3 linked regions of the Saccharomyces cerevisiae S288C genome follow. The gene in region 1 interacts genetically with each later gene. Each region holds a gene or a part of one and is shown on either strand. Other genes may lie near its edges. The genes, in order: YAT1, YNR061C and SUC2.

The links.
Region 2: mutations in YAT1 (region 1) and YNR061C together harm fitness more than expected from each alone (negative genetic interaction), as found in Saccharomyces cerevisiae (one large-scale study listed by BioGRID).
Region 3: mutations in YAT1 (region 1) and SUC2 together harm fitness more than expected from each alone (negative genetic interaction), as found in Saccharomyces cerevisiae (one large-scale study listed by BioGRID).

Annotation. Positions count from the first base shown.
Region 1 is NC_001133.9:188,114-191,872, forward strand, and holds the start of YAT1 (carnitine O-acetyltransferase YAT1), read left to right. Parts: upstream 1-2,079; coding exon 2,080-3,759. Other genes in the region: DUP240 family protein MST28, read left to right, coding at 1-698. UniProt on the Saccharomyces cerevisiae protein: Involved in the transfer of acetyl-CoA into mitochondria. May also be involved in the metabolism of acetate and of ethanol.
Region 2 is NC_001146.8:742,374-745,692, reverse strand, and holds YNR061C (uncharacterized protein), read left to right. Parts: upstream 1-2,152; coding exon 2,153-2,812; downstream 2,813-3,319. Other genes in the region: PUL3 (Pul3p), read left to right, coding at 350-1,333.
Region 3 is NC_001141.2:35,381-39,139, forward strand, and holds SUC2 (beta-fructofuranosidase SUC2), read left to right. Parts: upstream 1-2,004; coding exon 2,005-3,603; downstream 3,604-3,759. Other genes in the region: YIL163C (uncharacterized protein), read right to left, coding at 1,519-1,872.

The sequences.
Region 1 (3,759 bases):
CCCCTCCAGAAAGTACCGACGTCAAGTTAGATACACTTAACGAACCTAGTGCACATTTAATTGAGAAAAATGTGGCTCTTCCTAAGGACATATTCCGTTCGTACTTGAGTTATTGGATCTATGAAATCGCTCGCTATACACCAGTCATGATTTTGTCCCTGGTAATAGGGGTTTTGGTTTTATTAATTATATTTTTTAATGACAACGAAGCTTGTGTTTTCAATTCTGCAATATTTGCTTTTACTTCTCTTGTAGGTTTGTTAATAATATTAAGTGATGGTAATCCAAAGCTAGTCAGTCGTCGAAATTTTAGGACCGAGCTTTTAGTGGATGTCATCACACGTAAACCGGCGGTAGAAGGGAAAGAATGGAGGATCATCACATACAACATGAACCAATATTTGTTTAATCATGGGCAATGGCATACTCCGTATTACTTTTACAGCGATGAGGATTGCTACCGTTATTTTCTACGCCTTGTTGAGGGAGTAACCCCCAAGAAGCAAACAGCCACGTCAATTGGCAATTCTCCGGTCACCGCTAAGCCTGAAGATGCCATCGAGTCAGCTTCTCCTAGTTCCAGACTGAATTATCAAAACTTTTTGCTCAAGGCAGCGGAGATCGAACGACAAGCTCAGGAAAATTACTGGCGAAGGCGGCATCCCAATATCGATGCGCTTCTTAAAAAGACGGAATAGCTTAGAGACACTACCATACGTAAAGCGAACATAAACTAGAGTATGATATATAATCAGCACTAACTGGCCGGAAAACGGCCGAAGGAAGCCTCGAAAAGTCGATTCGTGTTGGACCCATTTGCTGAACAAAGTGGTTCATTGCCTACCTATTATGGTAGTAGTCGTGATAATCGTGTGGTTGGTTTTGTCAACGGTGCATTTGCATTTTCATGACAATAAACCTTGCGTTTTCGTTCTCGGGATATTACTTTCCCTCCACTTCTTTCGCCTCAATAGCTCCTATAAGCATTCTCAGGGCGTATGTCGGTGATCGAGATTTCCAAGCAAGCTTTTAGTGGAAATCATCGCGCGCAAGCCAGCGGTAAAGGGAAAAGAACGGAGGACGATTACATACAAGATGAACGAATAAATAAATTAATAATAAATAATAATAAAAAGTACAGTAGCATTAAATATTATTAAGTTTAATGATTAAAAATTGGTTAATTGTCAAGAAAATCTAAGGTATTAATAAATAAATAATACTATGACAACTTGCAGCGAAAGCATCAGCCCCAATGAAAATTAATCAGAATTGAATCTGAGCGTATTTATTTGATAACGGTTTACGTAACTGTTGGAATAAAAATCAACTATCATCTACTAACTAGTGTTTACGTTACTAGTATATTATCATATACGGTGTTAGAAGATGACGCAAATGATGAGAAATAGTCATCGTTTTCAACGGAAGCTGAAATACAAGGATTGATAATGTAATAGGATCAATGAATATCAACATATAAAACGATGATAATAATATTTATAGAATTGTGTAGAATTGCAGATTCCCTTTTATGGATTCCTAAATCCTCGAGAAGAACTTCTAGTATATCTACGTACCTAATATTATTGCCTTATTAAAAATGGAATCCCAACAATTATCTCAAAATTCCCCCAATTCTCATCAGTAACACCCCACCCCGTATTACTTTTACCGTGATGAAGATTGGCATCGTTACTTTCTAAACGTAGGACGTGCGGAATGACAAAACCATCAGCAGTGTCACGATCTCTCCAGTCACAATGGCAATCATGAGTGCATAGTCCAAAGTAAAGGGGCAAGGAAAAGCATGATTGAAAGGACTCCCCATCTGGACTCTATATGTCATCAGCGGCTAAAAAAAAGCATATAGCACAACATCAGCATCAGCATCAGCACTAGAGTCATCGGCCCGGCGGTCCGCGGTCATCCCCGCGGACTTTCCGTCCGCCCGGCGGGCTGTATCAGCGTCAACTGGAACGCGCATATATATACAAGACACACATAACATAGAAGCACACCCACGACAATAACCACACGACAATAACCACACCCGCCCACCCCTCCTTTCCGTATACAATGCCAAACTTAAAGAGACTACCCATCCCGCCACTGCAGGACACGCTCAACCGCTACCTGGCACGCGTGGAACCCCTGCAGGACGAGCGCCAAAACCGCCGTACGCGCCGCACTGTGCTCTCCGCAGAAAACCTGGACGCATTGAACACGCTGCACGAGCGGCTGCTAGAATACGACGCACGGCTCGCGGAAAGCAACCCAGAGTCCTCATACATCGAGCAGTTCTGGTATGACGCGTACTTGCTATATGATGCAACTGTCGTTCTCAACGTCAACCCGTACTTCCAACTGCAGGACGACCCAACCATCAAAGACACACCAGAGACGGCGGCACAGGGCCCCTATGGCGCACACACGGTGCAGGTTCGTCGTGCCGCACGACTCACCACCTCTATTCTCAAGTTCATCCGCCAGATTCGCCACGGCACACTCCGCACAGACACTGTGCGCGGCAAAACGCCGCTGTCGATGGACCAGTATGAGCGGCTATTCGGCTCCAGTAGAATCCCTCCGGGTCCCGGCGAGCCCTCTTGCCACTTGCAAACAGACGCCACGTCGCATCACGTGGTGGCGATGTATCGTGGCCAGTTCTACTGGTTCGACGTGCTGGACACACGCAACGAGCCCATCTTCGCCACCCCAGAACAACTGGAGTGGAACCTCTACTCGATCATCATGGACGCGGAATCCGCCGGAAGCGGATCCGCGCCCTTTGGCGTGTTCACCACAGAGTCGCGCCGGGTGTGGTCCAACATCAGGGACTATCTGTTCCATGCGGACGACTGCACCAACTGGCGCAATCTCAAGCTGATCGACTCCGCGCTGTTCGTGGTCTGTCTCGACGACGTGGCGTTTGCCGCCGATCAGCAGGACGAGCTCACGCGTTCGATGCTGTGCGGGACTTCTACCATCAATCTCGACCCGCACCAACACCAGCCGCCATTGAACGTGCAGACAGGCACCTGTCTCAACCGCTGGTACGACAAGTTACAACTGATCGTGACCAAGAACGGTAAGGCGGGCATCAACTTCGAACACACCGGTGTGGACGGCCACACTGTGCTGCGGCTCGCCACAGACATCTACACAGACTCGATCCTGAGCTTCGCACGCGGTGTCACCAAGAACGTCGTCGACATCTTTAGCGACGACGATGGAAAACCATCGTCGTCGTCGTTGGCCTCGGCGGCTCACTCCGCCAACTTGATCACCATCCCTCGTAAACTGGAATGGCGCACTGACAATTTCCTGCAATCGTCGCTGCACTTTGCCGAGACGCGCATCTCGGACTTGATCTCGCAATACGAGTTTGTTAATCTTGACTTCTCCAACTACGGCGCGTCCCATATCAAGACAGTGTTCAAGTGCTCGCCAGACGCCTTCGTGCAGCAGGTGTTCCAGGTCGCATACTTCGCGTTGTACGGTCGCTTCGAGACCGTGTACGAGCCTGCCATGACCAAGGCGTTCCAAAACGGCCGCACAGAGGCCATCCGCTCCGTCACGGGCCAATCGAAGCTCTTTGTCAAGTCACTACTGGACCAGGATGCCTCGGACGCCACCAAAATTCAGCTCTTGCACGACGCCTGTACGGCGCACTCGCAAATCACAAGGGAATGCTCCCAGGGGCTCGGCCAGGACCGTCACTTGTATGCGCTCTACTGCCTCTGGAACCAATGGTAC
Region 2 (3,319 bases), on another chromosome or scaffold:
CAAGTGTGGTTGACTACATCAAAGAAGTAAGTGTTAATGTAAATCTAAGATAATTTCAATGAACTAGTATGCTAACAATTTAGAGAACGGAGAAACCAATCCGGACAAATTCTTGTTCAGAATTCAAGCCATTTCTGCAGCAGTTCAAGTTTTTGTTTCATTCATTATTGGGGATATTGCTGCTTTTCTTGGGTCCATTAAATGGGTAATAGTGGGGCTTTACTTTTTATCCTTTGTGGGTAATTTTTTGTATTCATGCGGCGGTGCAGTGTCGCTAAACACCCTTCTCGGTGGGCGTATTATATGTGGTGCAGCATCTGCTTCTGGTGCTATAGTGTTCAGTTACATCATGTCAATTGCACAAGATAGGGGTATCGTTTTCAAGCTTCTATCAATTTATCGAGCAGCGGCTGGTATCTTCATGGCGTTGGCACAATTAATTGTCATATTTTTTGGATATTGCGATTTTAAAATTAAAGGGTATCGCATTGCCTCTTACAATGCACCGACATTTGCCTCCAGTTTCATAATTCTTGCAGTATGCCTTTTATTAGTTGTCGTTCTGGAAAATCCTGAGGTTAAAGTTACAAATTCGGAAAATAGCCTTTTCAGTGCTCTGAAACAATTTTTTAGAGTCGAAAGAAAAAAACTCATCTCCTGCTTGATTTTACTATGGAGCATGTTCCTATCGTCATTTATTATGAGCGAAGTAGTTTATTTTATGCCACTATTCCTGACGCTCCACGTTAACTGGGACACCAAGTTTCAAGGCATAGCGTTTATGGTCGCATCTATACTTGGTGTGACTGGAAGCTATTTCGCTCCAAAGTTAATAAACGTCGGGTGCTCCTGCGGCAGAGCCAAAGATGGCGGATTAGAAGAGTCAGATACAACTGGAAGTGAGACCGTTGAGGTAAAGAAAAAAGATTCGCTGTACAGCGGTCAAGTTTTTCTGTCCATCTTTGCATTGTTTGTTTCATTGCTGGGACAAGCTTTTATGATTGGAGCATCCGAAGCCTTGAAGCATAAATCAATGCCACCCACAAATTCTGGTATATTTTTTTCAGCTGGGATGTCGATTACATTGTTAGGGTACAACTTTTTGGCTTCGAGCATTCCAGCCCTTTTTTCCATGTACATCGACCCCAAACTCAAGGTCCAGTTGATGCCTTCAATTGGAGCAATCTCTGGGATTGGTAAACTGGTGGCACCGATTGTATTAGCAGCTCTTTATGGCACAAGATTGGGGCTTTCAATTGCGGTTGGATTTGGTATGATTTTGGTAGCTGTTTCAATTCCACCGCTTATTTGGCTCAGGAAAAAAAGGTGTTAGATTTCCTTAGACATATACTGGTCCAAATCCAGCTATATATCGGGTGCCATTGACGTATATTTTTTCGAAGAACTTGGACGACAAAAAGTCAGCCTCTTTTTTATGGCGTTCTATCAACAAATTTTACATTTGGAAATGATAGTGTATTATCTTTACCATTTCTATAGTGATATATCCGGACTAATCTTTTAGCGGCCATAAATAAATATTACTAATATTTAAAGTTTCCTTCTGATTTATTCTTCTATTATATTCAAACCAGTTGTGGAAAAGTGTGTGCCTCTTTTATATGGCACTTTATACTGAATGATGTAATCAGTTTGCATGGACGCCAAAGCTTGTATTTTAACCAAGGTTTTTTAGAGTTTGGCCGCTTCAAAGTTAAAGACGTTAGGCAATTCGCATAACCTTTTCTTTAATCTCAATATATTATTCTAATCTTATTCTGCAAATTGTCATTGGAATTCGCTTCCGATTTGCTGTACTGCTTGCTGAATAATATCTGCTCTTGCATTGGCAGGTGAGAAATGAATACTATCTTTTAAGGATGTTGGTTTATAATCTCTCGGAGACTAAAAACCAACTTCTCAAAATGATTTATGTATTTGCCCAAAGTTAAAATTGCGTGTTTCCAATTACGTATGCGATATGTAAAAAAATTAAAAAAGTGAATGAATAAGCGACTTTTCGAGTTGCTATTTTTTTCTTGGTTCAACAGAAGTAAAATATAATCAACCATAAATAGGAGAATACAGGCGGTGCTTACAGCTTGATATTTTGTTACCAAGTCAAGATCTATAATAATAACTCAATACATATATGTTAAAGTTAACAACAACATCCGTTACTTTCCACGTACTAAGATATTTCCAACTTGGCTTATCTGTAACTAACTTGTTGTTAGCTAGTTTTGCCATAATCACAAACTATAAAGTGGATCGAATCCTTAGATTGAGCTTAGCTGTTTCAATCATATCTTCAGTTTATTTTGGGATTGTGAGATTTTTGCCTGTTCTGTTAATATTCGTGATGGAAATTGTTCAGACCGTCCTGTGGTTTACCGCTTTCGTAACTCTAGCTTCAAAATTTGGTTCTATGTCCTGCTCAAGTATGCCACGGGGTATAAACTTTGATTATTCAGGTTCTTGTAAGATTGCTAAAATAGATATTTTACCAGAAGCCGTTTTATTCATACTATTTCTCGCTACCACATATGCTTCTTATATCACAGTCCTATCTCAAGCTAAGGAAAATGGGTCAAGCACAAGATCTGTTTTGAAGGCTTGTGTGAAGGCATTACGTGATACCGTGGACCGCTTGGAGACCAGTCTGGAAGAGAGTGAGCCTCTTTTAGATCTTGAAGTTCAGGAAGATGCGAGGACTGAAACCGAAAGCATTGAGGATTCAACTGATAGTGAGGATAATGCTAACATCGAACAAGAGAAAGTGATTGATGGTTCAATTGAGCATTCTTCATGATGAACCAAATGTCTTGTAGTGCATGCTGTTTCTGACTTTGCTTAATGGATTTTTTTAGTTCGACGATGTTCCGTATATTTTAGAGGCACACACTTTCACTTTTCCTATGTTGAGTAATGAAGGCATTTGAAGTTACGGAACCTTATAGGTGTCAGCACGCTGTCATTCCAGATAATTTTGTGTCTCCCTTACCTCCACATATGAATTTGGAATACCAATAATTACCTCTTAAAAGGTTTCAGAAGACGTTTACTATTTAATTCTTAGCTACACATCATATAGTTATTAATTCAATATATTACTTTTGGTACTGCATTCTAAAACACTAAAGTATAACCTCCGAACATTATATAGGTGTTTATTGAGTTATTTTTTGAAGAAATAGTCCACTAGAAATTGCTTGGGATGCGGGATTCCTTTTTCTCTTGGTCCTTACATTATACACCAATTTTATCTTTATAAGAAAATACAGGTAGTTAAATTAAGTACATGAACGCTGAAGATCGA
Region 3 (3,759 bases), on another chromosome or scaffold:
AATTTTGTCACCTGTGCTTTGCTAGAGTTACTTCAGTACTAATTAGATTATAATATTTTGCAGCATTTATTGGTATAGAAAGAAAAGCTCGAGCACTACCAACTTTTATCTGATATACCGAAAAATGCATAAATATCTTCTCTAGTTTGTGCGTTTTCTTGTCGCCCTACCTCACAAAAGAGAAGTACTGATGGCTAATAATTGTTGGATCGATTCATTGTATCTCTTAAATGTCAACAGAGCATAAGTCAGACTCTTTGCCATTTTTAAAAAGCTGCGAAGGCGAACGTGACTACGGGGTGCGGGTTTTTGTATTGCTAATGTAGCATGACAGCTTATCCAATGTTTTGTTGTGTTCATTCAAACTATTTTGAGCCTCACTTCAATTTTGTTTGACTACTAACATGGCAGCATGCGTCGTTTCTAGGTGCTAGCCAGGCTGTGAGAACGTAAAATTAGCCTATGTTCAACATTCTCTGCTTTTCAATGTCACTGTTCATTTTGTTACTATGAAAGTAGTTCGTCGCAATTTGTACTTTTCTTCGAAAGTCTTCTTTTGCAGTAGATGAAGTGTGTTCTGAGAAATTGATGCTTTCAAATGGCCTTAAAAAATTTTTGTATCATAGCTAACAACATACTGTTGCGCCAGGGGAAGTGAAATCATGGTTGTATATTACAATAGCATTATGTGCATTTACCAAGTATGGAAAAGCGGAAAGTGTGAAAGAAGTTTATGAAAAAAGCGGAAAATAAAAAAAAAAAGTTTATTTTCCTGTGACTTCTGGGAAGCAGTTAGACCTCCTTCGCTGTATTCTTAGGTGCTATACCTCATTTCCACGATGGTAATAGACGATCAGTCTATTAATGCGCTAAAGAACGTAGAAAAGTTATTAACTGAAGAAGCTTTGCTAATGCCGTCGCACATTAAACGGCTAGACATTGCCTTGAATAGGAAGCCGAATAATCTACGAAATATCATGGAGCTTCAGGGCCTTGCATATACTATAGTAAAAAAAAAACTAAGTTTTCCCCTGTAGTAAACAGGGAGATACCGTACGGAGGTCTGAATTCCCTACAGAAGTAGCTGTAAAAATTCAGAATTCGCAACAACCTATAATTGAGTTAAGTGCCTTTCCAAGCTAAAAAGTTTGAGGTTATAGGGGCTTAGCATCCACACGTCACAATCTCGGGTATCGAGTATAGTATGTAGAATTACGGCAGGAGGTTTCCCAATGAACAAAGGACAGGGGCACGGTGAGCTGTCGAAGGTATCCATTTTATCATGTTTCGTTTGTACAAGCACGACATACTAAGACATTTACCGTATGGGAGTTGTTGTCCTAGCGTAGTTCTCGCTCCCCCAGCAAAGCTCAAAAAAGTACGTCATTTAGAATAGTTTGTGAGCAAATTACCAGTCGGTATGCTACGTTAGAAAGGCCCACAGTATTCTTCTACCAAAGGCGTGCCTTTGTTGAACTCGATCCATTATGAGGGCTTCCATTATTCCCCGCATTTTTATTACTCTGAACAGGAATAAAAAGAAAAAACCCAGTTTAGGAAATTATCCGGGGGCGAAGAAATACGCGTAGCGTTAATCGACCCCACGTCCAGGGTTTTTCCATGGAGGTTTCTGGAAAAACTGACGAGGAATGTGATTATAAATCCCTTTATGTGATGTCTAAGACTTTTAAGGTACGCCCGATGTTTGCCTATTACCATCATAGAGACGTTTCTTTTCGAGGAATGCTTAAACGACTTTGTTTGACAAAAATGTTGCCTAAGGGCTCTATAGTAAACCATTTGGAAGAAAGATTTGACGACTTTTTTTTTTTGGATTTCGATCCTATAATCCTTCCTCCTGAAAAGAAACATATAAATAGATATGTATTATTCTTCAAAACATTCTCTTGTTCTTGTGCTTTTTTTTTACCATATATCTTACTTTTTTTTTTCTCTCAGAGAAACAAGCAAAACAAAAAGCTTTTCTTTTCACTAACGTATATGATGCTTTTGCAAGCTTTCCTTTTCCTTTTGGCTGGTTTTGCAGCCAAAATATCTGCATCAATGACAAACGAAACTAGCGATAGACCTTTGGTCCACTTCACACCCAACAAGGGCTGGATGAATGACCCAAATGGGTTGTGGTACGATGAAAAAGATGCCAAATGGCATCTGTACTTTCAATACAACCCAAATGACACCGTATGGGGTACGCCATTGTTTTGGGGCCATGCTACTTCCGATGATTTGACTAATTGGGAAGATCAACCCATTGCTATCGCTCCCAAGCGTAACGATTCAGGTGCTTTCTCTGGCTCCATGGTGGTTGATTACAACAACACGAGTGGGTTTTTCAATGATACTATTGATCCAAGACAAAGATGCGTTGCGATTTGGACTTATAACACTCCTGAAAGTGAAGAGCAATACATTAGCTATTCTCTTGATGGTGGTTACACTTTTACTGAATACCAAAAGAACCCTGTTTTAGCTGCCAACTCCACTCAATTCAGAGATCCAAAGGTGTTCTGGTATGAACCTTCTCAAAAATGGATTATGACGGCTGCCAAATCACAAGACTACAAAATTGAAATTTACTCCTCTGATGACTTGAAGTCCTGGAAGCTAGAATCTGCATTTGCCAATGAAGGTTTCTTAGGCTACCAATACGAATGTCCAGGTTTGATTGAAGTCCCAACTGAGCAAGATCCTTCCAAATCTTATTGGGTCATGTTTATTTCTATCAACCCAGGTGCACCTGCTGGCGGTTCCTTCAACCAATATTTTGTTGGATCCTTCAATGGTACTCATTTTGAAGCGTTTGACAATCAATCTAGAGTGGTAGATTTTGGTAAGGACTACTATGCCTTGCAAACTTTCTTCAACACTGACCCAACCTACGGTTCAGCATTAGGTATTGCCTGGGCTTCAAACTGGGAGTACAGTGCCTTTGTCCCAACTAACCCATGGAGATCATCCATGTCTTTGGTCCGCAAGTTTTCTTTGAACACTGAATATCAAGCTAATCCAGAGACTGAATTGATCAATTTGAAAGCCGAACCAATATTGAACATTAGTAATGCTGGTCCCTGGTCTCGTTTTGCTACTAACACAACTCTAACTAAGGCCAATTCTTACAATGTCGATTTGAGCAACTCGACTGGTACCCTAGAGTTTGAGTTGGTTTACGCTGTTAACACCACACAAACCATATCCAAATCCGTCTTTGCCGACTTATCACTTTGGTTCAAGGGTTTAGAAGATCCTGAAGAATATTTGAGAATGGGTTTTGAAGTCAGTGCTTCTTCCTTCTTTTTGGACCGTGGTAACTCTAAGGTCAAGTTTGTCAAGGAGAACCCATATTTCACAAACAGAATGTCTGTCAACAACCAACCATTCAAGTCTGAGAACGACCTAAGTTACTATAAAGTGTACGGCCTACTGGATCAAAACATCTTGGAATTGTACTTCAACGATGGAGATGTGGTTTCTACAAATACCTACTTCATGACCACCGGTAACGCTCTAGGATCTGTGAACATGACCACTGGTGTCGATAATTTGTTCTACATTGACAAGTTCCAAGTAAGGGAAGTAAAATAGAGGTTATAAAACTTATTGTCTTTTTTATTTTTTTCAAAAGCCATTCTAAAGGGCTTTAGCTAACGAGTGACGAATGTAAAACTTTATGATTTCAAAGAATACCTCCAAACCATTGAAAATGTATTTTTATTTTTATTTTCTCCCGACCCCAGTTAC